Linked DNA regions of Kluyveromyces lactis. The main gene of each other region encodes a partner of the protein of the gene in region 3 in a complex. Links are inferred from orthologs where the notes say so. Each region holds a gene or a part of one and is shown on either strand. Other genes may lie near its edges. The genes, in order: KGD1, KGD4 and KGD2.

The links.
Region 1: KGD2 (region 3) and KGD1 share a complex: the UniProt entries of both Saccharomyces cerevisiae proteins name them as parts of the 2-oxoglutarate dehydrogenase complex. The link is inferred for Kluyveromyces lactis from reciprocal best matches to the Saccharomyces cerevisiae genes KGD2 and KGD1.
Region 2: KGD2 (region 3) and KGD4 share a complex: the UniProt entries of both Saccharomyces cerevisiae proteins name them as parts of the 2-oxoglutarate dehydrogenase complex. The link is inferred for Kluyveromyces lactis from reciprocal best matches to the Saccharomyces cerevisiae genes KGD2 and KGD4.

Annotation. Positions count from the first base shown.
Region 1 is NC_006042.1:426,108-437,445, forward strand, and holds KGD1 (alpha-ketoglutarate dehydrogenase KGD1), read right to left. Parts: upstream 6,679-11,338; coding exon 3,625-6,678; downstream 1-3,624. Other genes in the region: AYR1 (acylglycerone-phosphate reductase), read right to left, coding at 1,903-2,820; RPL9B (60S ribosomal protein uL6), read right to left, coding at 8,462-9,037; RSC chromatin remodeling complex ATPase subunit STH1, read right to left, coding at 9,542-11,338. UniProt on the Saccharomyces cerevisiae protein: The 2-oxoglutarate dehydrogenase complex catalyzes the overall conversion of 2-oxoglutarate to succinyl-CoA and CO(2).
Region 2 is NC_006040.1:987,287-996,688, forward strand, and holds KGD4 (alpha-ketoglutarate dehydrogenase subunit KGD4), read right to left. Parts: upstream 3,814-9,402; coding exon 3,412-3,813; downstream 1-3,411. Other genes in the region: RTG2 (Rtg2p), read left to right, coding at 1-132; PRE4 (proteasome core particle subunit beta 7), read left to right, coding at 558-1,355; 3',5'-cyclic-nucleotide phosphodiesterase PDE1, read left to right, coding at 1,966-3,072; DIG1 (Dig1p), read right to left, coding at 4,461-5,579; CAM1 (translation elongation factor EF1B gamma), read left to right, coding at 6,199-6,858; KLLA0_D11638g (uncharacterized protein), read left to right, coding at 7,801-8,976. UniProt on the Saccharomyces cerevisiae protein: Molecular adapter that is necessary to a form a stable 2-oxoglutarate dehydrogenase enzyme complex (OGDC).
Region 3 is NC_006040.1:1,394,347-1,404,717, forward strand, and holds KGD2 (dihydrolipoyl transsuccinylase), read right to left. Parts: upstream 1,911-10,371; coding exon 504-1,910; downstream 1-503. Other genes in the region: SLX4 (Slx4p), read left to right, coding at 3,032-5,110; NUM1 (Num1p), read left to right, coding at 5,567-10,371. UniProt on the Saccharomyces cerevisiae protein: The 2-oxoglutarate dehydrogenase complex catalyzes the overall conversion of 2-oxoglutarate to succinyl-CoA and CO(2).

The DNA.
Region 1 (11,338 bases), on a different chromosome or scaffold from region 3:
TATATAATAAAACCCAACTCCAAACAAAAACCAGGAAACAATAAACGTAACAACCATGTCGTTGTTGGACATCTCAAGAATTTTTTTTGGGAAATCTCAATTAACCACCTTAAAACGAAGCCATTTTCCAGTTAATTTTTCGAGCACCACTTGTGCGAAATCACACACATCATCGCTGTATCTGGTAACAGAAAAGGGAGCGGACCTCAGAAGTATCAAACATGCCAAAGAAATGATGCGGGTCGTGTCTCGAAAATTCACACCGTTTGATTGTGGCACTCTGTTCCGCTGAATTCTCACATCGCACCTTTTCTTGCAGTACCTGTAACTTCCGAATTTGGCAAGTTCGCGAAAATTTAAAGTTTCCTCGAGCTTCGCCTGTTTCACCATTTACGGCATGAAAAGGGAATTTAAGGTTACCCGTATTTCAGATTTAGAAATGAAAAACGAAAAGGCGCAATAGTTTCCGGGTAACGGAAAGAGACGTCTCTTTTCGTTACCCTACCACAGTGCACTTGATTTCGGAATAAAATCTCTGAGGGCTTCGGCCAGGTATTTCTTTGTTAGTCAATGCGAGATTGATTTCTCTCTCAACAAAAAAGAAAAACTGTATGAGGTGAAAAAAGCACTGGCAAAGCCAGTTAATCAAGCTAGTACCGCAAGCAATAAAAATATTCAGTTTCGAATCCGACCCTCTGTGTATCTGAAAAATCTCTATTTGATTCCCATCCGCTTGGATAAATAAAAAAGAAAACTCTGTAGTAAAGAATTACGACATACCTTGTAATGTAGAACAGCGAATGAATAGTCAATCTCGGAGAAAGCGACTTTTACTTTTGCTAAAACGAGGGAAATTCTGCAAGCGTGGGTCTTGTAAGTGACAAATAGATAGTATCTGTACTTAAAAGTGTAATTTCAAAGGAACGTATAGGTTATGGGAAAAAAAACGGGCGCAAAGAAATGAATCAAGCCGTTTTTAATAATAGTCTAAGGAATGTAAAGCAGTTGGATAATAAACAAAATTTGTTGCCCAGTCGCAGTTTGCTGTTTCTAATAGCGTGAATGAGTGTATAGGTTAGTTCTATTGGTGTTTCTTGTGGATAGTTTGAGCTAAAGTAAGTTATGCTCGAAGGCCAAAAAACTAAATCATTCTGTGAAAATCATATTTACATATATATATATATATATATAAATCATATCATGGATACATGATGTTTGCCTCCTAAAACAATGGCAGTACATATTCAATATAAAACAATTCTGGGTAATTTCTGTAACGGAAAGAAAAAAAAATACGCTCGAGCTAGACTTCTGTGAAAAATCTCGGAATTACAGCCATCCCGATGACGCGAGAAGTAATAGCAGTGCAGCTCGTTCTGAGAAAAGCAAGTTAACTTATTATATAATCAACAGAAATTTCAGAAGCTTTCTTTTCGACGTATTACCCGGATTCATACTTCCATCATGTTTGTTTTGTTTTTGTTTTTGTTTGTACTGTGCGGGGTTTTAACTCAATCCAAGCTCTCGCTCAACAGTTATAGCGCCTGTTCTAAGCAAAAATGTATAACATGATTCTATGGTAAACAAACAGACTGCGCATAGTGCAGCTGAATTTACTTCCTAAAAGGAACCTGTTCCCAGCATCTACAAGGGTTATAAGAGAACAGTAAACGAAAAGGAAAGGATTAAGGGGGACGGGATACACTGTTGTTGTTTCAGGAATACCTCCGTGCGCGTTTTTTTGCTTGTTTGTCTTGCTGGGTTTTGAAGTATGGAAGTATGTTTACCGTCTGGATATTTTCATTAAATAGTACGTAAAGAGAATATCATGTACATATATATATATATATATATATATATATATGCATAATAATTGACTGTAAATGGCTCCAATCATATGTTTCAGTCATGTTTGATAGTATTTTCAAGAAGACGTTGACGTTGGCGTTGGCTTTGCAATTGACGTTTATTCAAAACGGAATACGCCGGATACAGTTTGAATTTCTTGCGTAATCCCCATTCTAGCAATGCGTATGGAATCAGTAGCATTAACCATTTCACTACCGTGGCCATCGTTCCCCGGTATATATCCACCGGGTCAATGCTGCCGTTTTCGATATCATTCACCGTTTCTCTTGCGTAATCAGCTGGTGACATCGGTTGATTCTTCTCTGACATCTTCTTACGGGTTTCAACGGCTTTGATACCCTCCGGGAAGTTGAAGATACTACCTTCTGGTAATGTCTTCTTATCAGCGATGTCTGTGGCTACACCTCCTGTAATCATGTTAATGACACGTACGCCCAAAGGACCTAATTCTCCGTGTAACACCCGAGCGTATTGATGAATCGCAGCCTTTGATGCGCTGTACACTGCTCCAAACGGAAATGGACATATCCCAGCTAATGACCCAGTGAAGACGATTGTCCCCTTAGCGTTTATGATTAATGGTGCGAATTCACGACATGAGTTGATGGGTCCATAAACGTTTACTCTGAATGTATTATCGATGATTTCTTCGCTCACGTCTATTGCGGGCAGAGAGCAGCTTTGGCCAGCGTTATTATATAATAGATGTAGCTTCTGATCTGGTAATTCTTGCTCCAACTTCAACTTCAACTGGGTGATATCATTCTGATTCGAAACATCAAGTTTCCTAGGGATGCATCTATCTCCAAACTCGGCTCTTAATTCCTCCATAGGATGTGTTCTTCTGGCACATGCGTACACGTACCACCCTCTCCTCAATAACTCCTTTGTGACTTCATAACCAATCCCTGATGATGCACCAGTGACCAAAGCATATTTTGTCTCACTCATATTGATATGTTTTTGTGCTCTCTATGAATTAGATTATCTTTTACGGTATTCGTAAGGGACTATGCTTAGAGTAGAATGTCGATAAGCTTTGGTGACTTCACTTTTGCTAGTCATCATTAATCCTGTGTTTTGAAGTTTCCAATTTTTATTTGATGATTTTTTTTTTTTTTGCTTGTTATAGTGTATTTCCCTTTTATTTCCTTAAAGAAATGTAATATGAATGGAATTTTTTATACTAATATAATATTACATATTTTTATAAAAATAATAATAAATAAATATCATATTACGCTTACATATGTAAAATGAAATCAAAACTTTCTAACTCCGCAAATTTGAACAAGGAACAAGCAAAGCTAGATCAAGAACTCATATCCTTCAGTGTTTCTGAGATTTCTTAAAATGATGAAGGAAGAATGAATTATGATGAATGATAATTTTCATTGTTTGTTCTATTGATGATTTGATCATTAATTGCTTCATGGAAGTCTGTTTGAAAAATACACATTGGTATTTTTATATATATATATATATAAATATTCTTCATGATAAATTCATAAACGTAGTAGACAGTAGTTAAAGAAATATATTTGAGTTTTGGTTCTTCGAATGCAGAAGCGCAAAAGAATTTTTTCTGAATATGATAAAGCATAACAGTACCGTATCAATAAAAAGTTCTCATGAAGCCATAGCCTTCCCCATAAGGATGACTTTTCATTTTTTTTGTGTTTCGATGAGCTTTTTATGAATAAAAGATAGCAGCCAATAATTTGAAGAGGAAAGAATAAACGCGCAGTAACTAACCTATTGGCCAAAGACTTCCTTCAAGAAAGCTTCTTCTTCGGCGTTGTGCAATGCCTTGGAACCCGCAGCAACGGAACCACTTGGGTTTCTACCAGCATATCTAATAATAGCATCCTTGTATTTGTCAGTTTCCTTCAAGGTAGTTTGCAATCTTGGTTGAGCATATGCCCATCCACCCATGTTTAATGGTTCTTCTTGACACCAAACGATGTCTTCCAAGTTTGGATAGGTGTTTAAGGCATCACGCAATTGAGCGTATGGGAATGGATGTAGTTGTTCAATCTTAATGAATGCAGTGTTCTTGTCTTGGATAGTTTCACGTTTTTTATGCAAAGCAGTGTAAACTTGACCTGACAATAAAACAACTCGCTTAATCTCTTCCTTTGGTGCAATGCTCTTACCTAATTCGACATCTTCTATGATCCATTGGAAGCCACCTTCGGTGAATTCGTTCAAGTTGGATCTAGCCAATGGGTGACGTAACAATTGCTTAGAGAAGAACAATGCCAGTGGCTTACGGAATTGTCTATGTTGTTGTCTTCTTAGGATGTGGAATAAGTTGGCTGGAGTGGTTGGATAAACAATTTGGAAGTTACAATCTTGATGTTGTCTTTGCAACTTTTCTTCACTTGGGAAATATCTTGGATCTTCGTTACCTAGTTGCAAGAATCTCTCCAATCTACCTGAAGAATGCTCTGGACCTTGACCATCGTAACCGTGAGGCAAGGACAAGACTAACCCGGATCTTTGCTTCCATTTCACTTCACCAGCGGCAATGAATTGATCGATGATGACTTGAGCAGTGTTGGCGAAATCACCGAATTGAGCTTCCCAAACAACGAAATAATCTGGGTTAGTCAAAGAGTAACCATACTCGAAACCCATACAACCGTATTCAGACAACGAAGAATTACAGATGGTGAAGTTAGCTTGTTTTTCAGACAAGTGCTTTAATGGAGTGTAAGTATTCTCGGATTTTTGGTCGTGAAGAACAGCATGTCTTTGTGAAAAGGTACCTCTTTCAACATCTTCACCAGAAACTCTGACGTGATTACCTTCCAACACTAAGGAACCGAAAGCTAATGCTTCACCGGTAGACCAGTCAATACCTTCACCGGATTCAACTGCTTTACCTCTGTTGGTTAAAATTCTCTTCAAGTTCTTATGAACTTCGAAGTTCTCTGGCCATGAGGAGATGGTCTTACCAATGTTCTTCAAAGTATCAGCATCAACGACGGTTGGTTCGTGGGATAAGATTTCAGTAGCTAAAGCCTTTGGAGACTTGAAACCTTCCCAAGCAGCAGTTAACCATTCTCTTGAAGTTGGCTTATAGTCCTTTGCCTTCTCATATGCTTCCTCGAATAGACCCCAAACCCATTTCTTATGTTCATCGATATCTTGCTTGGTGAAGGAACCTTCAGATACCAACTTTTCCGTGTAAACGTCAATGACAGATTTTTGCTTAGAAATCTTTTGGTACATTAATGGTTGTGTGAAGGAAGGTTGGTCAGTTTCATTATGACCATGCTTTCTCCATCCGACGACGTCAATAATGGCATCAGTGTGGAAAGTAGCTCTCCATTCAGCAGCCAAGTTGAAAATGAATGTAAGAGCTTCAACATCGTTGGCATTTACATGGAAGATAGGAGCATCAATGGTTTTACCCAAATCAGATGGGTATAGAGTTGATCTAGCGAATCTTGGATCAGTAGTGAAACCGATTTGGTTGTTTGTGATAACGTGAATGGTACCACCAGTAGAGTATGCTGGCAAATGTAGGAAACCCATGGTTTCGTAAACGATACCTTGAGCAGCGAAAGCAGCATCACCGTGCAATAGGACGCTGATGGCCTTGTCATACTTGCCAATATCGTTCTTAGAGAACTGGATGGCTCTAGTTCTACCCAAAACAACAGGATCAGCGGCTTCCAAATGAGATGGGTTAGCAACCAAAGACAAGTTAACGTATTTACCAGAGGTAGTTGGTCTTTGGTAATTCATACCCAAATGATATTTCACATCACCGGAACCCTCGTATTCTTCTGGAGCAACAGAACCCTTAAATTCTGAGAAGATGGATTCGTTTGGTTTACGCACCACATTAGACAAAACGTTTAATCTACCACGATGAGCCATACCCAAGACAACATCTTCAACACCTAATTCAACGGAACGGTCAATCAAGGTCTTGATACCAGGAACAACACCTTCTAAACCTTCCAAACCGAATCTCTTATCGTTAGGGAATTTAGTAGATAAGAAAGTTTCAAAAGAAGTAGCCCAAGTCAGTCTATCCAAAATTTGTCTCTTTTGGTCTACGGTATAATTATAAGGTTGTGGGATTTCAATTCTTTCTCTTAACCATTCACATTGTTCTTTTGAAGGGATATGAATGTATTCGATACCGTATCCAGAACAGTACAATTTTTCCAAAGCAGCAATAATTTCTCTTAGTTTCATGGTCTTTCTACCATCACGAGAGAAACGTGGCAAGATACCGGGTCCCAATGTGATATCTCTATCTAGATCCTTTTCTGTGAATCCATAGTGTTCCAAAGTCAACTCACGAGGTAGAGGTTTACTCTTATCATCACCAAATGAAATTTGTAACGGATCAATATGAGCCTTCTGGTGACCTCTTACTTGGTAAGCACGGCACAAAAGTTGCACTTTTAAATGTGTTGTGATGTCTTGGTCAACGCCACTTAACGAACCCCCTATCAATATATCTTGAGGCACACCAGGACCCGTTGGTATTGGAATTAATGTTGGTGGGGCGGTGAAGGCAGAAGAGGCTGGAATATTCAGATTACCCATGTTCTTGAAATAAGCATCCCAAGAGACATGAACTGAAGTGGGATCCTTTTGCCAAGCTTCGTACATCTCATCGATATATGATGCATTGGTGGTGGACAGGAAGTTGTCCGTCGAAGATGCACCACTAGCCAATCCACGACTGAAAACAGCCAAGGAAGTCGGTTTGCTTACAGCACCGATCCTGGTGAATTTAGAAGCATGTAACAAACGCTGAGATGACCTTATAGTTCTCAACATTGTTCAAAAGACAGTTATTTTTTGTTCTTTTCTGTATAACGAAAGAAGCAAAACACAAACCTTAAATCAATAGATGGTCGCTTTGTTCTGTACGTGTGTTGTAAAATTGATATATCCAGTTATCAAGTAAAAAAATCCCTTGCAATTCACAAAATGTTGAACTTTTCAACGATGATTAACTTTCAATGAATCTTTCTCGTTTATATCTTCTTTTGTTTTTATTTTTTTATGGCTCTTCTTTGTGAATTTTCAATCCAAAATTACTCACAAAAAAAGGGAACAAAAGAAGAAGTACTTGATAGTAGTAGAGTCAGAAACTAAGACGACAACAGGCAAAAACTTCGATTCAAAATTGACTGTTTTTGTTAACGTTCCTAATTAATTGAAAAAAAGAGATATCCTACTTGCGAACACGAAGTTGAAATAAAGCTTCTTCAATCTTTTTTTTCTTGTCGGAAGATCTTGAAAAAATACCCCCGATTTTTTTAATTTCCCGTTCTCTTTCACTTAAATAAGCAGTGAAATTAATGTATAAATCCTGTATCTTTTATACTTTTTAGCCGATAAAAAACAGAAATACCAACAAAAAAACTAAATTAGAGTAAGCAGAACTCAAACAGTGCCAGAGAGTCGAGTATTGCGTTTACTAGACGAGTTTAATTTAACAGGCAAATAATAAACTCCGTTATTATTTTCCTTCTGTCTCCTATCTTAATTGTATTAAGGCAGGCCTCTTGAATCTTGAAAATAATAAATACCTCTTCTATAAAAATAGTAAGAACCAGTATTTATATAGGAAATAGTAGATGCACTATATATATTCACGATTTTGTGTGAAAAAAAAGCACTCATTCAACTATTAAATGGACCACCAATATCTCTCTCGTGCCATTTCCCCGGTTTTGATCCTCACTCCCATTTTCTTTCTTTCTTCGAATCGGTACTGATACCTTTAATGCCTGTAGCTCTCTAGCAGCTTTATGTGGTTTTTGCATAAGGTTTCCTTGCTACATGGTGGAACAAACAAGTGTTTTAGTGCCGCTTACTCAGTTTTCAACAATACGAGAATGCCAGATAGTAAAAGCTGTAGGGCATGGTCTGCGAGTAGGGGTCCGGTGACCCGTTTTCGGATTCGAAGACGGGAAACTACCAGATTCATTTTGTGGGACAGCCCGGAATTCCGGGTAACGTTTCAACATTTTCTTTTCAGTATTCCATATTCAGATAAGTACTATGCAACTCCGTGCCAGACTGGCTGATGGGTTTTAAAGTGTAAGCAAAGGCTGAGTGCGGTTGACGGTATGTGGTGTACGGACATTCGTCAACCCAACTCGGTCGCGAGAAATTCTTTGCTGTCACTTGACCATTGCTTGATTATCACTTGGTTCAAGATGTTTCAATCAATCTTCGTTCGATACTTCCAATACTACTACTCTCAAGGTTAAGCTACACTAGACTACAGGTTTTTGAGGCTCAACTCATCTTCGGAAATTTTATAGTTGAAAACTCCAGGCAATTGTTATGATTAAGAAGGAAAAGAATCAGTGATTTAACATCAAAAAGAATTGAGGAAACGTAAAGTGGCTCTATATTGAATCGAGCTCTAGCAACGTTTCCCCCTATCGTATTCTTCCGATACTTGATTATCGGAAGATGGCAAAGAGAAAGACAAAGTACATAATCTGAATCTATCTACTTATATAGAACATCCACCTCTGAGGGGAGAACGTCTTCCTCGCTAGTGTACAGTAACGTGTCAAAAGTATCCGAAATTTTGGTTCGCTTATTCTTCTTCTTCGATCAGACCCTTTTCAGAGACATAGATACCATCCAAGAATTTACGAATATCCTTGTTTCTAACACGACAGATTTGTTGGATGTCAGCAGCGTTTTGGGAAACGTTTTCAACAGAGTTACCAGACAAGACGATTTCGTCCTTTTGGTTGGTAGAGAAGTCAACAGAAACACCTTCTCTGACTGGAACTTCTCTGACCTTCTTGTCACCCAAGAAGTTTCTGATTTCGATGAACTTAGCACCGTCCTTTTCAATGACGTTAACGTTGATTGGGAAATGCGCGTAAACGTATCTCAACTTGTACTTGTAACCCTTGGTGACACCAGTGATCAAGTTAGAAATCAAAGACTTAACAGTTCTCAAAGCAGCAACGTGCTTTCTGTCACCGTTGTGGACGGTGATCTTAATTTGTCTGTTAGAGACCTTGGTGAAGGTAACATCGATGTGCTTCAAGTTCTTAGTCAAGACACCTCTTGGTCCAGTAACCTTGATTATTCTGGATCTGATTTGAACGGTAACACCTTCTGGGACATCTAGGACTTGGTCAGTTTGAATGTACTTCATTTTTGGTTATGTGTCGTTTGCTTTGGTTGGTTGAGCAAAGTTATACAGTAGAATTGAACAGTACCGTACTACTGCTGTGAAAGTTGTAAGTTGAAAAATATGGCTTTCCGTATTCTGATTATATATCACCAGAGTCTGGACAGCTTTTTTTCATTTGAAAATTTTTTCAAAAGGGAAATTTAATTTGCGTCGTAATTCAAAACAGAAGTAAAGAAAACAGTCCCAATATGTTGTGTGAGACGTGTGGGTGTTATGAAGGTGCATATATTTGGTGTTTTACGATATTATGTATTTGCATGTCGTCAGTTATTGATTCAAATACTTTGAGCTATATACATATCGTCTTTAAGTACTCTGTATATATCGTCAGGTTTTTCAAAAGAATTTATTAAAGGTAATACGTGGAATTCACTACATTTTATAAGCAGTCTGTTTCTTTCCCCTATTATGTGTTCGTTTTTAACGTAATTTTACAATCTTGCCAGTAGCGTTTTTGGGGGTTCATTACTCATTCTTCGAGAACCAGTCAATCGCAAATTCTTCCAAGGCTTCTGCGTCATTGAAGACCCAGGAACCCTCTTCATTGTAAAGCTTAGCGTTATTGAACATGGTCTCCAAGTCCGACTTTACTTCGTTGATAGATTGGTATTGTTTCTTGTTCAACTTCTTTGTTATCGTCTCTAATGCTACTGGCTTCTCAATAACCTTGTAGTAGTCCGGATACTCCTTCCTTGAAGGTAATCTTTCGAAAATGAAAGTTCTTGAATGCTCATCCGTTGGATCAGTTAACTCTCTTAGTAAAGCCAATAGTGCCTCGACTTTATCTTTTAAAGGTGGTTCTTCTTTGCGTTTGGTGGGAGCGTCATCTTTTTTCATGTTAAGCTTGAGTTTGATCTTCTTTTTTAAAGGTCCTGCATCTTGTTTTACCGGTTTCGCTTCTTTCTCTTCACCCAATTCCGACTCCTCTTCAGGAGTAGTCGAAGGAGTAGCGACAACCTTTCTCCTAGAACGAGTTCTACCATTTTCACGAGCAGGAGTTACGGCTTGCTCAGCAGATATTACAGTATTGGATGTTGAGGAAGATTCTTCAGGCTCAACGCTATTTTCTAGACTTTCCAATCCTAATTGTTTTCTTTGACGTTTTTCACGAGCAGCTCTTTGACGTTCAATGGTTTCATCTAAGTCCTCATCATTATCGACAGCTTGTAACCATTGTTCCTCTGTTAAACCATCATCGTAATAGACTCTCTTTCTTTCTCTGATTCTGCCAATAGCAGCAGGCTCAACATTCAAATGGTCAGTGATATCTTCAGTGAATACTGAAGGTAACTCTTCCTTGGTGATCAACCTCGGCAGTGGCTTTCTCAAACCTAAATCGATGGCTTCTCTCTTCTCATTAGCTACACGTTCTTCATCAATCTTTTTGAACAGCACTTTCTCGTCTTCAGTACGTGCGAGAATTTCATTTAATTCTTCGTCGTCTAATTCACCAGAATATTCATCGTCTTTGTTAGTATCACCTTCCAATAATCTACGCAAAAATTCTTCTTGTTCTTCAGCAGTAGATTTATTGTCAAATTTACCGGCTTGAATAACTTTACCATCAATATCCAATTTTTGCATTGCTCTCTCTAGAATAACTTCTTCGACGGAATCGGTTGTTATTAATCTCAAAATACGAACTTCGTTCTTCTGCCCAATTCTGTGAGCTCTATCTTGGGCTTGTAAATCCTGATGAGGATTCCAATCAGTATCGAAAATAATGACCGTATCAGCAGTCTGCAAATTTAGACCTAACCCACCAGCTCTGGTAGAAAGTAAAAAGCAGAAGTACTCAGAATCGGGTGCATTAAACAGTTTTAACATTCCAGTTCTATCCTCTGCTTTGGTACCACCATCCAATCTCATATATTTAAGGTCTCGCATCCTTAAGAAATCTTCCATGATATCCATAACTTGAGTCATCTGGAAAAACATCAATACTCTATGACCTGACGCTTTAAATTTTGGAAGAACTCGGTCTAGAAGTTCAAATTTACCACTAACACGATACAAAATGGAGCTGTTCTCTCTCGTTGGGTTGATAACATTTTCAACCTCATCGAAAACGAATGGATGATTACATATCTTCCTTAACTGCATGACCTTGTTGTTCAAACCTTTGATACCAGCCTTGGTTGCACCTTCTGTTCCTGCACCAATAAAGAAAGCATTATGTTTTAACATTTGTTCGTATAGTTGCTGCTGGAGACTTGATAGCTTACATTTCACAACCTTCTCAACTTTGTCAGGTAAATCTTT
Region 2 (9,402 bases), about 400 kb from region 3:
GTCAAGATTAACAGAAACGATCTAAAGACTATTGCTTCTGTGAGGCAAAGAATCATCACGTTGCAAAAGAAAATAAGGAAATTATCCCGTGGTTCCAGCGACAAGGTTAAGATCAATGTAGAATTCTATTGAACACTCAATTGCGATCTCAGTATGTATAGGCTTTATATAGAATGCTCTTTATTTTACTTCCCTCAGCCTCCCTTCCTGTTGAAGATTTAATATCTAATTTACCCTGTTTGTAACAAGCCTCAGACCCTAAAATGTGATATAAATATTCGTGAAAGCGCCATATAGGTAGTGTAGTGCGCTGCTGTGTACTACTATCCGATGGTCGTATCCTCTGTTGATCACTCTGTTTTAGCTGGAAAAATATAGCGTTACCCGCCCTTTAACATTTTACCTTATTAGAACGATTTTGCCACTATCGAATATAAGAGAGACATGCAATTCATAATTAATACATAAGGAGTTCACTTCACGACAGGTTACAATCAACACTAAAGAGTCACCAAGGGTATTTTCTGCGAATCCAATCCATTGAAACACTTTCCAACATGAATCACGATCCATTTGCCTGGGGAAGGCCATCTGACGAACACTATGGCGCGTACAATCATGCCATTGCCCAAGCGTCAAATAATCCAAAGATGAATACTCAGAACCCTATTATTACCGGTACTTCTGTCATCAGTATTAAGTATAATAACGGTGTTATTGTTGCAGCTGATAATCTAGGTGCTTACGGTTCGTTATTACGTTTCACAAACGAGGAGAGATTGATCAAAGTGGGTCCCAACACGGTTGTTGGTGTATCCGGTGACATTTCCGATATGCAATACATTCAACATCTATTAGACGAGATGGAAATTGAAAACAATTACGATAGCGCATATGCGGATAATGAGGAGCAATTGAAACCAAGCTTCGTTTTTGAATATCTATCATCTGTGATGTACCAACGTAGATCCAAGTTAGATCCTTTATGGAATGCGATAATTGTAGGGGGCACAGAAGATGGAAAGCCATTTTTAAGATACGTTAACCTATTAGGTGTCACATACTCTTCGCCAACGTTGGCTACAGGGTTCGGTGCCCACTTGGCATTGCCCCTTTTAAGAAAGCTAGTAGACACCGAAAAGGACGTGGAAAAAGTGAATCTAGATGTTGCTAAGAAAGCTATCCTAGAGGCAATGAAAATATTATACTACCGTGATGCCCGTAGTTCACGTAAGTTTTCATTGGCTATAATCGACAATGAACTGGGGCTCAATATCGAAAAGGACCTACAAGTAGAGAATATGTCTTGGGAATTCGCCAAAGACATCAGAGGATATGGTACCCAAAAGGTATAGGTTTCGGATTTACTTCGTCTTGTCTTCATGCTTTCACTTATCCACGCAGATAATACTTGCACCAAAATACACAATCTCATGCCAACAAAGGAAGAGCAACACATGGTGATCCTGCTCTGGTAATATATACTTTCTTTGTCAATAACGGGAAGACCTCACCTCTTCTGTGTTTTCTCTATAAATGTATACTATGCGTAAATTCTGAATTAGGGCACATATTCACACATAATACACCAAGAAAGAAACTGATCAAAACGGCGTCAATGCTGTCAACTACTGGACAGCCAGCTCAGTCATTATGTCACTAAGATATTTCGAGTGAAGGGACCTGTATATATGAAGGTTATCGTTGGAGTTACCTTTCTTTATTCTTTTACAGTTCCAATTCTTTTAGAAAACAAGTTTAATTCTATATAAACAAGTAGTAACCTAATTGATTAATGAATCATCGACAAAGGAAAGACTAGAGGACTTATAGCGCTAGCCCAGTATACCTATATTCCATACTCTCAAATACAACTGGCTTGTAGGGTAGGCATCTATACGCCAGGAAACAGATTTTTACCGATATCTTGCGATATATTTCCATTCTGGTTTCGAAAGTGAAAAGATGTCTACGTATCCTGGATGCTCATTTGAACTAACTATCTTAGGAAGCTGTGGGGGCCCCCTAAACAATCATACACAGAGTTTCTTGATGAAACGCGCAGGATCGAGTGAATCAGGATATATTTGCATTGATGCGGGGTCCGGACTAGCTGAGATCGCAGATATGATCTACGCACAGGAATACGGTAACACGTTCTTAGTCAAGAGTCTATACAAATCTAGTGCCGAAGACGTTTCACGATTTCTTGCACAAGGGGTACGGTGTACCATTGGGTTTGGTACACCAAGTGAAGTGTTCCTGAAGAAAAGCGCAGAGGCCCACAGCAGCATTATGAGGACCGCTTGTGAAATATTCTCCGAAGTTAGGGAATATTATATCACACATCCGCACCTCGATCATATGATGGGTCTAATACTCAATGCCCCATTAATTTACACCAAACTGGGATCCTATAAGAACGTTTATGGCACAGAACATACCATACAAGCGATAAAAGAACATATATTCAATGATAAGATTTGGCCCGATTTCACCACAGACAACACGATCAGATTAGAAGCACTAGAACCTTCGATTCGCAGGAATACCTATTCAATACAGGGCATTGATTGCATACCGTTTACGTTGAATCATGGTCAAACAATAGATACCAAAGAACCTGTACTGAGCACAGCGTTTCTATTCCATGAGCACCAAACTGATGGACATGTTCTGATTTGTGGTGACACTGAATCAGATCTTGTCTCCAAGACAGACTCTTTACTCAACATATGGACATATCTAGCAGAGAATGTACCCATTAATAACTTGAAGGCCATCGTACTTGAGTGTTCTAACACAGACGAAGTGGATACAAGCAAATTATACGGGCACTTGTGTCCTCAGCATATTATATGGGAATTGAAAAGGCTAATAGAGGTATACGATGTGAAGCCAGAGAATTTTAGCTTGCATGTGATTCTAACACATGTGAAGGATATCGATTCAGAAGAGGATCCCAAAATCACTGTGTTGAAACAGGTAAATAAAAGGTGCAAACAGCAAGGATTAGACAAATATAATATCAGTTTTTCCATGGCGATCCAAGGTTTTACAATGATTCTTTGATATACAGATTAGCGTGATAATTTGAAAAAAATTCATCCTTATCCCATTGCCTGGGCAGGACCAATCACATAGACAAAAGAATGGCAAGGATGTTTGGCACCAAAAGGTTATAGATGTAATAATTAATAGGTAAAAGTAGAATTGTTGTATTAATCATAATAGATAATGGTGTTTTCTAAAAAAAAAAGAATTGTATTCGAAATGGATCGTTTGCTGTTCAATGAGTCGTAGATATTGCAGAACCAAGTGAGTTCGTACAACTATGATAAATAAATGTATTGGTATTATGTTTCTTTAACGATTATGGAAAAATGAGAGGCTGAAAAAAAGGAGATCCTATCATATACCACCTCCGTTAATGATTTCTATCTCTTGTTCGTCCATAGGTCTCAGTTTGAATCTTGGGGGTAATTGTGATATGGATCCAACTTCATTTTCTTCCAAAGGTCTGTTTTTAAACACATATTTTGGTGAATTACCAGCAGCTTTAGTAGAGGAACCCTTACCGGAAGCACTCTTATTTGAGTTCACGTATGGAACCACCTTGAATGGAAGCCATTTCTTTGCGACTTCTTCGACCGTAGAACAACCGGGAGCACCAGGCCTTAGTGAGTCAACGGTACAAGGATGTAAACCAGCATCCGCAGCAGAATGGGTCACTACAGGGTGAGGGCCGCCAACAAACTTGATTGAAGGAACATATTTGACTGCTTTAGCCAAGTTAAGAGTGGAAGCACGCATCTTTACAGGCTTTATAATCTCTTTATTCAAAGTTTCAACACCAGATCCGCGAGCCTTTTTCAATATCTGGGTCACTGATCTCGTTAATCTATCAATGAACGTCACGGTGGATTAATCACTTCTTACAGCAAGTGAATGGTCTAAATAACGATCTTGAATTGCAATACCTTCGGGAATCAAAATCGGATGTATCACAAAATGAGGAAACCTTAACACAAAAGTGGGAAAAAAACCTGGTTACTATTCTTACTTCGACTGTTCAATCAACGATTCACAAGTAACCAACAATTTTATCTGTTAATTGGCAATCTACTCAGTTACAGGAACCTTATAAACCGAGAGCCTTAATAAAACTGATAGAGAGTATGTATATATATATATACATCAAGACCGTTAAAGGTTGGCAAGCATATTGGGATACTTCGAGGAATTAATATATTACCCGGCCATTGTATCGGCCCCGATTGGGAACGCGTAGAGGACGACCGGAAATCCGATTACGTGAGCCACGTGACCACGAGTGTCACGTGACAGAGTGTCACGTCTGTCCCAACCGTTATTCATCTGGATGGTCTAGTGACGCCATGCACTCGATCAAGTTGTTTAAAGTTACAAATATGTTATATGAGGGTGGGGAAAAGGAGCGCCTATTCCCTGCTTACTACATCGTCCCATATTTTGGAACAAATGCTGAGGAAGAGCTTCTTATCCATTTGAGGGTCCGTTGAATCGAAATGGAATTGGAAATTTTCCATCATCAGTTGTATATCGCCTTCTATGACGACGTTGTTGCTATGGTCTTCGATTTCAATGGCATCAAAGAATTCTCTCTTGGTGGATTTAGGTTGTACGCTTAATGGAGCAATTCTTGTAGTTTCATCCTTGAAAACGTCCCTTGTCACTGAATTAGTGGCTCTGATAGGGTTCGACACGAATTGTTCGAAACTACGTTGGGTGTGAGGTGGTGCGGTGGTTGTAGGGTAAGCTGTCATTGGCGCATATTGATGTCTCATCAGGGGACGCGGCACGATGGGTGACGAAGTTTGAAACATCGGAATTTGGCCCGCTAAGTTTCTGGTCAAAGACCGGCCTTTATAAATGACTCTTGGTTTCGACACTCTGCTGGTTCTTTGTGAGAATGTATGTGAACTTGGAATTGGATGTCTTGTTACCATCGGTGGAGCTGACCTTATATTGGGTAATGATCCATTAGGTGTATTTTGCTTTGATTTTAACGTAAGTGGTTTTGGTATGTTATTTCTTTTCAATGATTTGGATTGACTCTTGGAAGTGTTGATTGAAGTCTCGGTACCAGGAGTGGTGGTACCATCTATCGAATTACTTGAGGATGATTTGTCAGTTTCCAGGTCTGAGGCTGTAATATTATTATTATTTTTGATGCTGGTACCAGCTTTCTCAGCAAGTTTCGTGTTTTCATCATCTTGTTCTTGTTCTTGGTCTTCATCCTGTTCATGTTCTTTTTCGTGTTCTTTCTCGTCATCTTGCTCTTCGTCTTGCTCGTTTTCTTGCTCATGCTCGTGTTCATGCTCATCCTCATTTATCGTTACAGAATCCAAATTCATACGCCTGATCTGTCTCTTCTGCTGCATCGCAATGTACTTCGATTTGTTAAACGTTTGCAACCGTTCGTCATCCAAATTAGCAGTCGCTATCCCTGGCGAGATACACTGCAATCCAAGCTTCTGGTACTGCGAATCAGAAATTTCTATACTTGGTGGTGAGGGCATTTGATCTGTCATTGGCATGTTTTCTACTACTTATTTCAGCGCTACTGTCCGGATAAAACACTGAGATGCACAGCTGTCTTATCACAGTACTCAAATCTATCCACCGCTAGTGTATCTCTCGTGTTAGTGTGTTTATATATACCACTAAAGTCACAGAAGACACGAAATGTTTATTATTTATCAGACCCTCACTTAATCTTCAACGGCTATATGTACAGTCCAATTGAATACAAAACCTCTCAGAGATAGCAATCCGTAAATATGCAACTTTGCTTTACCTGCCTTACCTACCGTGACTCTGAGAACACTGTTGCCATCCAGTGTTGCTGTCGTTCACGTTCTTTCAAAGCCTTTAACGGAAATGTTTCACATTTTCTATATAAAGGGACTAAAAAGGAAACTACATTGGGAAGACATTATGGAACGAATGCAAACGGATAAAGAAAGGAGAAAAGGAAAATTTGTGTGCTTAAAGTTCTACCACTACTGCTAGGAATCTCAAACTTGACAATTGTAGTTACAGTGCTGTGCTATCGAACCAAACTAGTTTCATAAGCATCGATTGTGTTTACTTTTTTGAGGTTTTAAGGTAAAGATCCAATTAGTTAATTCTATCAACATTATAGAGAATTCGAAAATGTCACAAGGCACATTGTTTGCGAATTTCCGTATTAGAACCTGGTTACCTCGCGCAATTGTGAAAAGCTTGAGTTTGGACGTTAAGATCTTGGAGCCAGAGAGCAACGTAGAGTACTGGTCTAAGTTGTTCCCATTGAAGAAAGTTCCATGTTACGTTGGTTCTGATGGGTTTAAGTTAACGCAACAGCTTGCAATCTTAGTTTACTTGGTCAACTTGAGCGATAACAATGCTGAGATCCAGCGTCTACTAGGTAAGGGCAACAAGGAAAAAGCTGAGGTGTTGCAATGGCTATCTCTTGCCAATACAGACTTGTGCCTAGCTTTTACTCGCGGTGCATTCCCGTTGAACGGCAGAAGCCCTTACAATAAGAAACAAGTGGATGACGCATATGCAGAATTGGACAGACTTGTCCAAAGGTACGAACAACGTTTGAACGACCACAAGTACCTCGTTGGTGACCGTGCGTCCCTTGCAGATTATTTGAGTGCTATTATTTTCACTAGGATCTTCGAGACTTTGTACGGAAAGAAATGGCGTGAAGAACATGCAAAGTTGACGCAATGGTTCACTAATATCACTGAAGATCCATTCGTGTCTTTCTTATGGGAGGGTATTACACTCTGCGACGAACCATTGCCAAACCCACCAACCAAATGATCGCATTGACAAATTTCAAGTTTATACATCTCTTTATATACATGTCTTCTCTATCAGTAACACTTTGTCTATGAGATAAGCTTCAAAGATCGTCAAGCGAGAAGTTACCTCGAACGAATTAGGTACTAGCCGGTCTATCCGGGAAAAGCAGTCCTATAAGAGATAGAAATTCCGGGACTGTAACAGAATGTAAACATGAAGGGGTTTACGCTGTAATAGCAGTGTTCATTTTCCCACCATGTTGCATATTCGGGATGATTACTCATATTATCGAGATTTCTTTCCATATAAAGAGAGATAAAGATGGAGCAACCACTAGTGGAGAAAAGGGAAAATACAAGATCAGCTTGGAAGAAGTCTACAAACGGTATTTGGGAACAGAAACCAACCGGCAAGGACTGTCTGACTGTCTGCCCTTTCTGCTTGAAACTTCCTGTCTGATTGAATACCACTGCAATGATCGTGACATTAATAGTCATCCTAATCGGCTTGTTGCATTACTTCGTCATATACCCATTGGTCTTCAGTCCATTGAGTTCACTACCTGGGCCGAAACATCTGAAGTTGAGCAGTTGGTTCATATTGAACAAGGCTCGTACGGAACAACGTAATGAATATTTACAAAGATTGCATGAGAAGTACGGGGATCTAGTACAGATAGGTCCGAACGAGGTAGCCTTCAATTCCTTCAAGTACGTGAAACAGATTTACATGGGAAATTTCCCTACAAGAGTTCGAAAACAATGGTGTGGGGTTCTATTCTCAGTTTGGTAACTTCAACACGAGGAACATTTTCAGTACCGGTGATACAAAGACCCATATCCAAAAGAAGAAGAACATTTCGAAAATATACTCCAAGAGTAATGTGATACAAAGCGGCGTTTATATCAGCGCCAAAGTTGATAAAGCATGGATTCAGATAGATAAGAATTGGGGAAACCGATGAACGTGTATTCTTTGTTTTTGGCTCTTGCCTTGGATGTCGTATCTGGGTTTGAATATGGGCCACAGTACAGTACGAATTTCATTACGGATCTGGATCATACCCGTGAGGGGAAAGCTCATCGGAACGAGTTATTCCTAGGGTTCCAAGAGAGTAGTAGCATGTGGTTTTATACAACACTGGCCCCAATGCTATGGGACACTGTAGCAAGATGGTATGGGATTGGTGAGAAATCGGCCAAATCTCAACAATGGATATGGGATAAATTTCAGGAGGCATTAAAACCGTTACAGCAGGGAATCATAGGGTCATCTACCAATGATAACACGATAGTATCACCTGTGGGTAACGTACTATCCACGATGTATGATGAGAAAATCGGAAAGGGACCAATCTCTCAAACACAATTCAGAGAGATAGCAAGTGAAATCGCAGATCATGTGATAGCGGGCCACGAGACTACTGGTATCACCTTGACTTACATATGTTGGGAACTTTCAAGACCTTGTAACAGACACTGGCAAGATAAACTGTTTGAAGAGTGTAAAACAGTACCATCGGATTTACAACGTTTAGACCAAATGCCGATTCTTCACAGTATTGTCCAAGAGGCATGTAGACTCCATTCGGCGATCCCGGGCAGCGAGCCCAGATACGTCCCACAAGAGGGGCCCAAATTCGAAGCTACACTAAGGGATAAACACGGAACCCGTGTAGAAATTCCACCGGGGACCATAGTATCATGCCAACCATGGTCGTTACACCTACTAGAAACACCATTCGGTGCCAATCCAAGACAATTCAATCCGGCAAGATGGTTAAGGGACGAAACAACAGGGGAAACCGAACAAGAGTACGAGAAAAGGTTAACGAAAATGAACAATTCCATGTTCACTTTCGGACAAGGAAACAGAATGTGTCTTGGCATGAACCTTGCATTGATGGAGATGAAATACTGCATAGCACAGCTGTATTCAAGGTACACCACTGATATTTCTCCCGAATGGTGCAACAAGGTGTACCAGCAACAGACAGATTCGTTGATGGGGACAAGTGGACGTGGCAGAGCCACGTCCATCAAAGGAACGGACGTCGACATGATGAGAATGGCAGACACCTACACTACAAGACCCTTAATGAACGAATGCTGGCTTGAATTTTCATCACGTGACTAATATGCACGACCCATATCGGCTGCAATTTCCTAATACGGAGAAATACCCCGCGCTTATCACCAGAAATCCTCCTCACTATAAAAGCCGAAACTGCATCGGAAACCTTCACAGAAAACACCGTACTACCGCCACCTTAAAACCTTAAGCGGTCGCTTTTGCCCTTTACAGAAGCCTCAAGCCGTTATTTCCGGGTTATCTCAGCATTCGTTCATCCCTTATCCTCAATTCCTCTTGCTGAGTCAGGCTCAAATAGCGGCCATTTCCTTTTGATATTGGAGATTACACAGATGGTAATTTAGATGATCCATTGTATGGATTGGAGATCATTTGGCAAAAACTCGTTTATTTATAATGGAACAGAGTATATTAGGGCTATATATATAACATCATGACTGATTCTGTAACCGTTTCTTCATTCATAGTGTC
Region 3 (10,371 bases):
AAAAAAATGACTATATGAACAATACACTGGAGAATGTGGGGAAAATAGTTGGTGTTTTACATAATAAATCATGAATAAGTCGTCGTAATTCAGAATCGGCTTGAAATCAAAGTATGAGTATAATGTTTGTTTAGAATATCATGACTGGAATTGGTATCAGCTTGATAGTATAAATGCATTATACTTCACATATCTTGCAAATCAGAAAGCCCGATTTTTTTTTTAGATATCCTTTTGTTGTTTTCTTTTGTCTTGTATTGTTGATTAGCCTACTTTTCTTCTTTTTTTCTTCAAGTCCGTTTGCCAATATCTGGAAACAGTCATAGAGCTGAGGAATACGCATATATGTAACCATTGTTAGATAAAGAATACTTCTCTCTCCCTCACATATATTGCAGAAGGTGAATGGATACATTTGCATGAGTGCAGAGCGGGAGTTTCTGTGATGCCAAAAAAAAAAGAAGAACAATATCTATAAAGATGGAGAACTCTTTAAATCAAATTTAAGCCAAAAGCATCTTTCTTGGATCTTCAATCAATTCCTTGACAGTTCTCAAGAAAGTAACAGCCTCTCTACCATCCAACAACCTATGGTCATAAGTCAAAGCCAAGTACATCATTGGTCTAGAGACGATTTGACCATTAACAGTGACAGGTCTTTCCTTAACACCGTGCAAACCTAAAACAGCCGTTTGTGGCATGTTAATGATTGGGGTACCGTACAATGAACCGAAGACACCACCGTTAGAGATGGTGAAAGTACCACCAGCCATATCTTCCAAAGTCAACTTACCATCTCTGGCCTTCTTACCCAATCTGACAATTTCTTGTTCAATTTCTAAAACAGACAATGATTCAGCGTTACGAACCACTGGGGTAACCAAACCCTTTGGAGTAGCGACAGCGATAGAGATATCGGTGTAATCACGGTAAAGGATTTGATCTCCGGAGATAGCACCATTTACAGCTGGAATATCCTTAGCGGCCAAAGTACAAGCCTTAGAGAAAAGACCCATGAAACCGAATTTAACGTTCTTAGTCTTGATGATTTCATCTTTGTATAATTTTCTCATTTCCAAGACAGCGGACATGTCAACTTCGTTGAAAGTGGTCAAAGAAGCAGCAGTGTTTTGAGATTCCTTTAATCTTTCAGCGATTCTCATTCTCATACGGTTCATCTTGACCTTATGTTCGTTACGGGAGAATTGAGTGAAAGATGGGGTAGAGGATTCAGTAGCAGATGAGTCAACTTCAGTCTTCTTTGGAGCAGCAGCGGCTGGTTTTTCCTCCTTCTTTGGAGCTGGAGCAGCGGCCTTTTCTTCCTTCTTTGGAGTGGCTGGTTGCTCTTCCTTCTTAGGAGCAGCCTGTTGTTGCTGTTCTTCAGCAGCAGGTGCAGAAGCGGAAGAGGACTCTGAAGCGGCAGCACCGCCAGCAGGAGCTTCACCTGGCTCAATTTGAGCAATCTCTTCACCAACGGTAACAGTATCATCTGGAGAGAAGTTCAACTTCGCAATGGTACCGGAGATAGGAGAAATGACTTCGACGTCGATCTTATCGGTTTCGATAGTAGCCAACAGTTCGTCCTTTTCGATGAAATCTCCGACTTTCTTAGTGTATTCCTTCAAAGAACCTTCAGTCAACGATTCAGCCATAGGAGGAACCGGCACAGAAGTAGCATGACGAACTGCCATGAATCTAGTGTTCAACTGAGAAGGGGAACAACGGAATTGGAATGGACCAGAAGAACGACGACTCACGGCGTTAAAAGATCCATTTCTTGAAGAGATATCGGAAGAAATTCGGCTTGAACTAAAACTTCTAACCGCTTCTAATTGTGAAACAGTAGCACAACGAACCAAAGGCTTGTGCAAAGCAGATTTAACTGCAACTCTAGTAGAACTCCTTAACATTGTTGGAATGGGACAAAACCAAAAGTGAAAAAGGATAATATATTATATTATAATCTGTGTTTGTAGATACACTCCGAGACCTGAGTATATTTCCGAATGTTATTTCTGAAGAGTAAATGGATTCAACTGACTTGAATACCTTTGCTCTATATTTGGTTTAGAAACAAAATTATCAAATGTGATAATTTATGATGATTATGATTCAAAAGAAAGAAAGAAGGAAAAATTTGGTACGAATTCAAAAAGGTTCCTTATTTTCTCAACAGGAATCAGAAAAAAGTATCTGTCTTTCTATTTAATTCAAACTGTAGTCAAAATTAGCTCAAAAACGGACCGTTTTATAAATCCTGGGGTTAAACATTCAATGTTTAAAGGCAACCTTTCAAAGAATTGAACTTTATTATCATTATTATATATATAATATATATATAATAATGGCGAAAGTGCATACAGTAGGTAATTAAAATGTGCTTACTCAAAAAACTTGGAAAATAGGGCCCTTTGGCGGAGCCAATTACCGGAATACCAGCTCGTATGAAGTGATATGACGGAGACTCGGCGCCGACCAGAACAGAAGAGCAGAGAGCACAAAGAAAGACTAAATAATCCGGTCCGGATCGTTAAGAGTGAGTGATGAAGGACGGGAGGATTGGATTTAATTGCACCGAAGGGGTCGCTCCGGGAGTCGAACTGAGGCCATAAAAAGTAAGAAGAGTTCCGGGAATAAGGAATAAGTAATAACAAGTCACGTGTAGAGTACGTTCGTATTACATTCGTATTACCCCGACTAACCCTGTTTTATTTCGTGCAATGCATGAAAAAATATCGCGTTTTCTCGATTTCTCACTGCTTCTATGCAATTTGAGGTTCATCTCTATAATTGTATTTACTATTCTTGATTTGGAATCATGCTGGCATTTATCATTATGTATCCCAAACTCTATTTCTCTCTATTTCTCTCTCTCTCTATATATATAGTACGTGTTAGTGTGTTACTGTACCAACGTATGTTTATGAGTGGCCTTGCGGTGCGTCAATTGGAAAGGACTGCTGATATACCAGGTGACTGGTATACTTGTAAGATATAGACAGAGAATTCAATAGCAAACCTCTCTTTCCTGATGCATGATGAGTTGGAAAAAGCTGGTAGGCATTTGCTGATGGTGAACGATCATTTGTCTGAAGATTCAGTGGAACAGGGTGATATTTGCATGACTCAGGTTCCTACTATGTTCAGCGATGATGAGGATCAAGATGAGGAGCAGGAGACTGAGATTCCACCGGAGGAAGGTGATGATGATATTCTGATCTCTACTCAAGTCCAAGGTGCCATAGATGAACTGAACCACCAGGAGACTGTGGTGCACACCTTCCGCAATGTTCTGTCAAGATTTGCGCTGGAAACACAAGATCAAGCGGATATTCCACTGGTGTCTTCCAAAAAAGTGCCAGTCAAGAAAGTGATAAAATCCTCAAAGGTCAAGCAGCCGACAGCACGATTGCAGAAAAGAATCAAGAGTATTACCCAGTTCAATACAGATAATTGGGAATCAAATAGAGTGAAGGATAGGGCTCAGAAGATGATTTCGATTCTTTCGGGTAAATCTGCCAAGGTTAAAAAATTGGTGTCGAAATTGGACTCGGAGGCATCTGCAGATGCGGAAAGTTTACAGGATTCTCATCCGACACAATTTGCGCCCTTTAATGAATCAGAATGGCAACATATCGTTGGCCTCCTACGAGAAAAATTACCAAAAGTTTCTAGAAGCGAGCTAAACTCGGTACAGCAATACGTATACGGTGCTGATGAACAGCACAATCTTTGGAAAGCGTCTCAGTTATCCCCAGAAAAGCAGATATCTTCTCAGTGCTCAGATGGAGAGTCTGAGACTATTCTTCCAAGTTTAACGTTGGATAACAATGCGCCTGTGTATACGTTGTCTCAACTTGTCGAAGGAGAAAGCAGTAATAACCGGTGCTCAACGGAAGATGGATTGAGGTTCAAACCGATCTCGAACCCAAGCTCTGTCATCGAACAGGAACTACCAATTAGCATAGACGTGCCTTCATCTGAGACGGATGTACCGTCTCAGATAGCCGATTCATGCGATAGCGGGTCTATCATTAGCTTTGAAGAGCTGAGTTTCATGATTCAAGACAAGAACAAGGCAGACGTCGATTACGATATACCATGCTATTTACCACCAGATTCCAAGACTTTACCCACTGGTGAGAAAACGAAAAGGGAATATTCCAGGGCAAACATAAACGATCAACTGATAAACATATCACAAACGTCTTACGATGTAGTGTCCTCCATCGTATCTCCAATGAAGGCCCAAAGAACCGGGACTATTCAGGTGCCCGCAACGAGAACTACTACCTTTCAAGACCAACAACAACAGAATCAGCAACAAGCTTCAAAACCTGCTAATGTCGTCAAGATATATGTTGATAGCAATAGGGACTCTAATGACGTTTTCGCCAGTGTTAAGGGGGAGGTAGATACGCAAGAGCAAGAAAGTTTGTCTACTTTAACTACTTCTATGTTGCATGATGATAATAACGAAATTGTTATAGATAGCGAAGATGAAAGAGGTAGCTATTCCATTATGGAGGTTCATGATGCTCCTCAAACTCATCTTGGCCAGTTCCCCTCTCTACGGAAATCTCAATCTCAAAAATTGAAAACCCCAGTTTCAGCCACAGATTCTCTAGATTCACAACTTCAGCCTGCCCTACTCACAACACAAAATGCATCTCCGAACACCGCGAAGCTACGAAGGTCTTTCAAGGTGATCGGATTAAAACCTTGTAAGAACAAAGTTCAGATGTTGCAAGTATGGGAGACATTGGAATCCAAATTCCCGGGGTCCTCAGATGAGGATAGATCAATTCAACTCAAGCAATTCCTCACGGACCTTATAGTACAAAATCGTGATGAATCTGCATTATTAATGGAACAAATATACACTTTTGAGCCTATTCGTTACGAACAGTTGAAAGAATGGCTAGTATCCTTGAACTCATTCACTGAACTAATCGACGATAGTTTTATCAAAAATTGGGCAGATTTAAACGGGATTGTATTCAGAAATGATACTGAGAACCCCTTGTTGTCACAAAGCCAATCTCAATCTCAATCACGGTTGCTCTCACAATCATTATCCCAACTGCAGTCGCCATCATTGTCTCCATAGTATGTTAGCATCCATGTGTATAATTATCAGCATTTTTTTTTCAATAGAAGCCCAAATACATGGCGTCAAAGGAACATAATAGACTCTCAATGAATACATTGGTCTGACTGCCTATTCAAAACATATACCGAATGTGAGCAAGGCTCTATCAAAGCAAGACAAGGCGAGTCAATAGCTGCATTGTTTATTGAGAAATCCGGGTAACGTTATGCAGTCAAAACAGCTCATCAAAAATTGTCAGTTTCTTTCAGATCGAACGATTCTATAAACAAAACAAACAAAACATAATCGAAAAGGAAATTGGAATCTACGCTCAGTAATCTTTGAAGCATATAGCACTGAAGTCCTTAAACTTTAGCACTGTCCTTCGGTTTTTATTCAGAACGGCAACAATTGAGTGATTTCGGGCAATTTGGAGAAGTGCGCCCCAGAAGCGACAGTAAAATCCCAGGAAATATGTCAGGAAAGGGATCTTCGCAGTCTGATAAACGGTCCAGCCGAGATGAATTGAAGTTTAAATTGAACAGGTTGCAGGAACAACAAAAACATCAAGAAGCTCTTTCTCATGTTAATTCTGAGGACCCCAGTTTACCATTTTCCAATGTCTTGAGTAAGAGAGATAATAGGGCTTCGTTACCTGTTTTTGCAGGAAGCTCTGCTCATGCAGGTGTCATAAATGCCAATTCAGGCGAGGATGTGAACTTTGTTGTTGGTTTAAGCGAGAACTTACTCGTCGAATGCAGACGCTTACAAGCACAGAACGAACGTAAGTCCGCCAAATTATCCTCTTTGCAGGCCGACTATGAAAAGTTGAAAATAAATCTTGAGCGGTTAACAGTGAAGCATGAATCTATGACCAAAAATGAGGATTCTTTAAAGGACACTAATTGGCGACAAGAAATGAAATTGCAAAGTTTATCTAAGGAGTTCCAAGAGTTGACTGAAAACTTCAATAAAAATAAAAGTGAACTTGAAAGGCAGATTGAGCTTTCTAAGGATATGAAAACTGAACTGGAGGAAAGTTCTTTGGAACGTATGGGATTAAAGTCCGAATTGGCTTCTAGTAAAAAAGTTCATTCGAATGAAATTAAGGAGCTGAAAAGACATGTGGAAGAGTTGAACAATGAGAATGATCAGCTGCATAATAAAGTTAACATGTTGAGTGAGAAGGTCACTTCATTAACAAAAGAAATAGAAGAGAGGAAAGGCACCTCTGCACAGGGCAAAGACGATACTGCGATTGCTACATCAGAACAAAAACCATCACCTGCCGTAAAACTGATCGGAGGAGGTATGGAGGGTTCCGATGATAGTTCCTTGAAGAAACCGATTGATTCAAATCTAGAAAATCAGACCTTAAAAGCCAACTTAAATCATGCTAATCAGTTAATTGTAAGATTAAAGCAGAAGCTCAACAGAGTCAAGGCTGACAGCACCATGAACTCTCCATTACCTTCAAAGTCTCCCAGAGGTAAGAATAAAGGCGGTTTATCTTTTATAGGATCTGCTTCTACTCCTCAAAAGTCCAATACTTCCAGCTTCAATTACGAAGTTACAGATAATGAATCAGGTGACTGGAATGTAATACCATCGCCTGGCAAGTCAAGTAATGCTGATATCAGTGATATTGACGCTGAAAGTTTTGTTTCGGAAACTATGGACTATGTGAGAGACCCCATTTCGGAGGGCCCCTTTGAACATGATGAAGACTTTATTAATGAACTTGACTATGAAGATATAGAAAGATACGCAAAAACGCACAATTTCGCACTTGTCCCAATTACTGAACTAGATGAATTAAAAAAATCGAAAACTCCTAGCACAATCTCAGATGACACATTATCAAAGCATATTCTTTCCAGACTTTCTACGCTAGGGTATTTTGATACTTCTAGTTTAACAAATAATGAGAAAGTGGATATAGAAGAGATTTTTAAGCATCCCACTGAGGATTATCTAGTTTCGAATCTGAAGAGGCTCAACCTCACTGCTATCAAAGAAGAAGAGTACCAATCATTGAATGATCCATCGATGGAAACTTTGAAAAAATCATTAGAAAGTAAAGACTACACTGCGTTAAGTAAAAAGGACTATGAGAATTTGCTTCATGCTTCCGAAAGTCCGTCCCTGTCATATCTCGAGAGTAAGGCTCACAAGCTTCAAAAAACCATTATCGACATTGATGAGTATGAAAATTTGAGGAAACCGGATGTTGAGGCATTAACAAACCATGCCCAGTCCAGAGGACTTCAGGTATTGAAACAGTCACAATTGACTGATATAAAAGCTAAATTGGAAAGCCCGTCTGAAGAATATTTGCAGGCCAAAGCAGATGCAAAAGGATTAACTGTACTAACGAAGAGTAAATTGTCCCAACTCACTGAACCAAGTATCGAAGACGTCCAACAGTTAGCTACCACTCACGACCATATTTTAATATCTAACAAAGATTACCATGAGCTACTGAATCCTTCTATCGATAAAGTGGAAAAAATTGCTGCAAATCACAAACTCTCGGTAATACCTGATAAGGATCTAATTGATCTGAAATGCAAAGCTGAAAGTCCAGATATTAATAGGTTGAAAGAATGTGCTAAGTCAAAAGATCATGTTCTTCTTCCAAATGAGGAGCACACCAGACTAATGCATGGAAACACTCATCCTTCAATTGAAGCTATTCAATCATCGCTTTCTAGTGACGATATGGAGTCTTTATTGCTGTGGTTGGCGGAAAGAAAGTCCATAACACCTATACGCACCACTGAGTATCACAAATTAACAGAACTAGCTAATACTCCTCCACTGGATCATCTAAAGAAAGCTGCCAAAGCTTTAGATTACACCTTGCTCAGTCAAGCTGAAATAGAGAACCTAAGAAACTTAGCTCAAAATCCTCCCTTTGAACACCTGAAAGATAAACTACTAGCTCTCAATTATACTATTATCAAACAGGAGGACCTTCATAAGTTGAAGGAACAGCTAGAATCTCCAACTTTGAACTTTTTATCGGAAAAGGCAGCAGAGAAAAACTATGATATAATCCTAAAGACTGACCACTCAGAGCTTTTGAGAAAGTCATCAGACCCGACCATCCAAGAAATGCAGCACTTGGCAGCTGTAACTGGCCACTTGATTGTATCGCAGAGTGACTACGATTATTTGAATAAGACCGTAAATGAACCATCAAGAAACTTCATCATTGAAAAGGCAAAGGATATCGGTATGGTTACTATCGAACAGAAAGAGTATGAAAAGTTAGTTCATAAGGGCAGTGATAAAACAATGTTACTCGAATCTATTAAGAATTTTGGATTTGTTCCAGTCACTGCGCCAGATTTCAATTCCTTTAAACAAAAGTCAATCGACAATGTTGACATCGACCAATTAACTAACAGATTGGAAACATTGGGTTACGTTGCAGTTTCAAAAGAAGGATACTCAAAATTAATGGCTCCCGTTATAGATAAAGTAACTAAAGATGAAACTTTTAAACTCTGTGACAAATACAATCTAAAGCCTGTTGCTGCTGAAGCATACCAGAAATTACAGGAAAGCTCGAAAGTTGCACTACTTTCAGAGGATGAATTGATTAAGAAAGTCAAGGAACATGGTCATGTGGTCTTAGATAGTAAGTCTTACGAAGATTTGATAAACAAATCAAACAATCCACAACTAAAAGATTTATCCAGACACCTCTCAACCTATAAAATGGTTCCCGTACAGCTGAACGAATATGAAAATCTAATGGCTATGAAAGACTCTCCCTCATTGACGTTTTTGAAGGAGAAGGCTAAACTTCATCATCAAACTATGTTACCATTCGATGAACTGGAGGGCTTGAAATCGAAATTAGAGCACCCATCTAGAGAATATTTAGAAAACATGGCTGGAACTCTTGGACTCGCCCTGTTACCAATTGAATCTATTGAAGAGCTCAAGACCTCATATGAAAATCCTTCTATTGCACACTTATCAAATAGGGCAAGCAATATTGGCAAACGTTTGATCGATCAACAGAAATATGACAATTTGCAAAGAAAAACAAACGAACCTACGGTGAAAGAAGTGGAACAACTGGCTGCTAGAATTGAATGCAAGGTTCTACCAACTGTCGAGTACGAAGAGCTACAGCTCGCAATCAATAACCCTTCAATCAAAAGATCAAAGGAGGTTTGCGACATCAATGGGTATAGCGTAGTTCCCACGAAAAAGTTCAATGAACTTCAACTTAACTTGACTAGTCCATCTTTAGAATTCTTGCAAGAAAAAGCGCAGCAACACAAACAAGTTTTACTACCGATTGAAGAACATAATAAGTTACAAATGTCAGCAGTTACTGACGAGCAGGGTTTACAGAGAAGTGCGAGAAGTCTCGGACTTGTAGTTGTTCCGGAAGCTGATTATGATTCTTTGTCCAATCCTTCCCTGCACATCCTACAAAAGCAAATAACAGAAAAAGGTCATGTGGTACTTGATGCTGAGACCTACAAAAGTCTCAATTCCTCAAATGTTGATTCAATTTCCAAACAGGAGGTGATAGGTCTGTGTTCAAAGTTCGATTTGATTCCTCTACCTGAAAAACACTATAAGGAGTTAACAGTTCCTTCGATAGAGAAAGTAAAACAGCTAGTCGAACCATTAGCGCTAACTGTTATTGACCGTGAGGAATTGGCTTTCTTGAAGACCCAAGTTGATAATCCATCTGAAGAATCAGTTGTAGCGACCGCGCCAAAATACGGGTACAAGCTCCTGGGTGACAAGGAATATGAGAATTTACAAAACGAGGCCAAAAAACTCTCTTCTCTCACCAAAATTGATATTGAAAAACTTGCAGCGAAATTGGGTCTTGTTGTTCTTAGTGAAGAATCATACGATGCTCTTATTGAAAAACTGAAAAAAGAGGTTGAAGTTTCTTCAATGTCACCAAGATCGAAAGTCGCAGCAAGCAAGCTATATTTCGAAAATGTTATCAAGAAAGAGAATTCAAATAAAGAGGTGGTATTAGAATCAGGAAAGTTATTAGGATTTGTAAGACTTTCAAACGATGAGTACAAAAGGCTTCTCGAGAATCAACAAAAGCACGAATTAACAAAGACGGATATTTATAATGGGGCAAAAGCCTTTGATCTCACTGTTCTTCCCTCCGAAGAATATAATAACTTATTACAAAGAAAGGCGCATAGTGATAATATTACATATGACGATTTACAGTTGTATGCTTCACGTTTTGCTTTGAAGTTGGTCCCTGTTAATTTCACAGA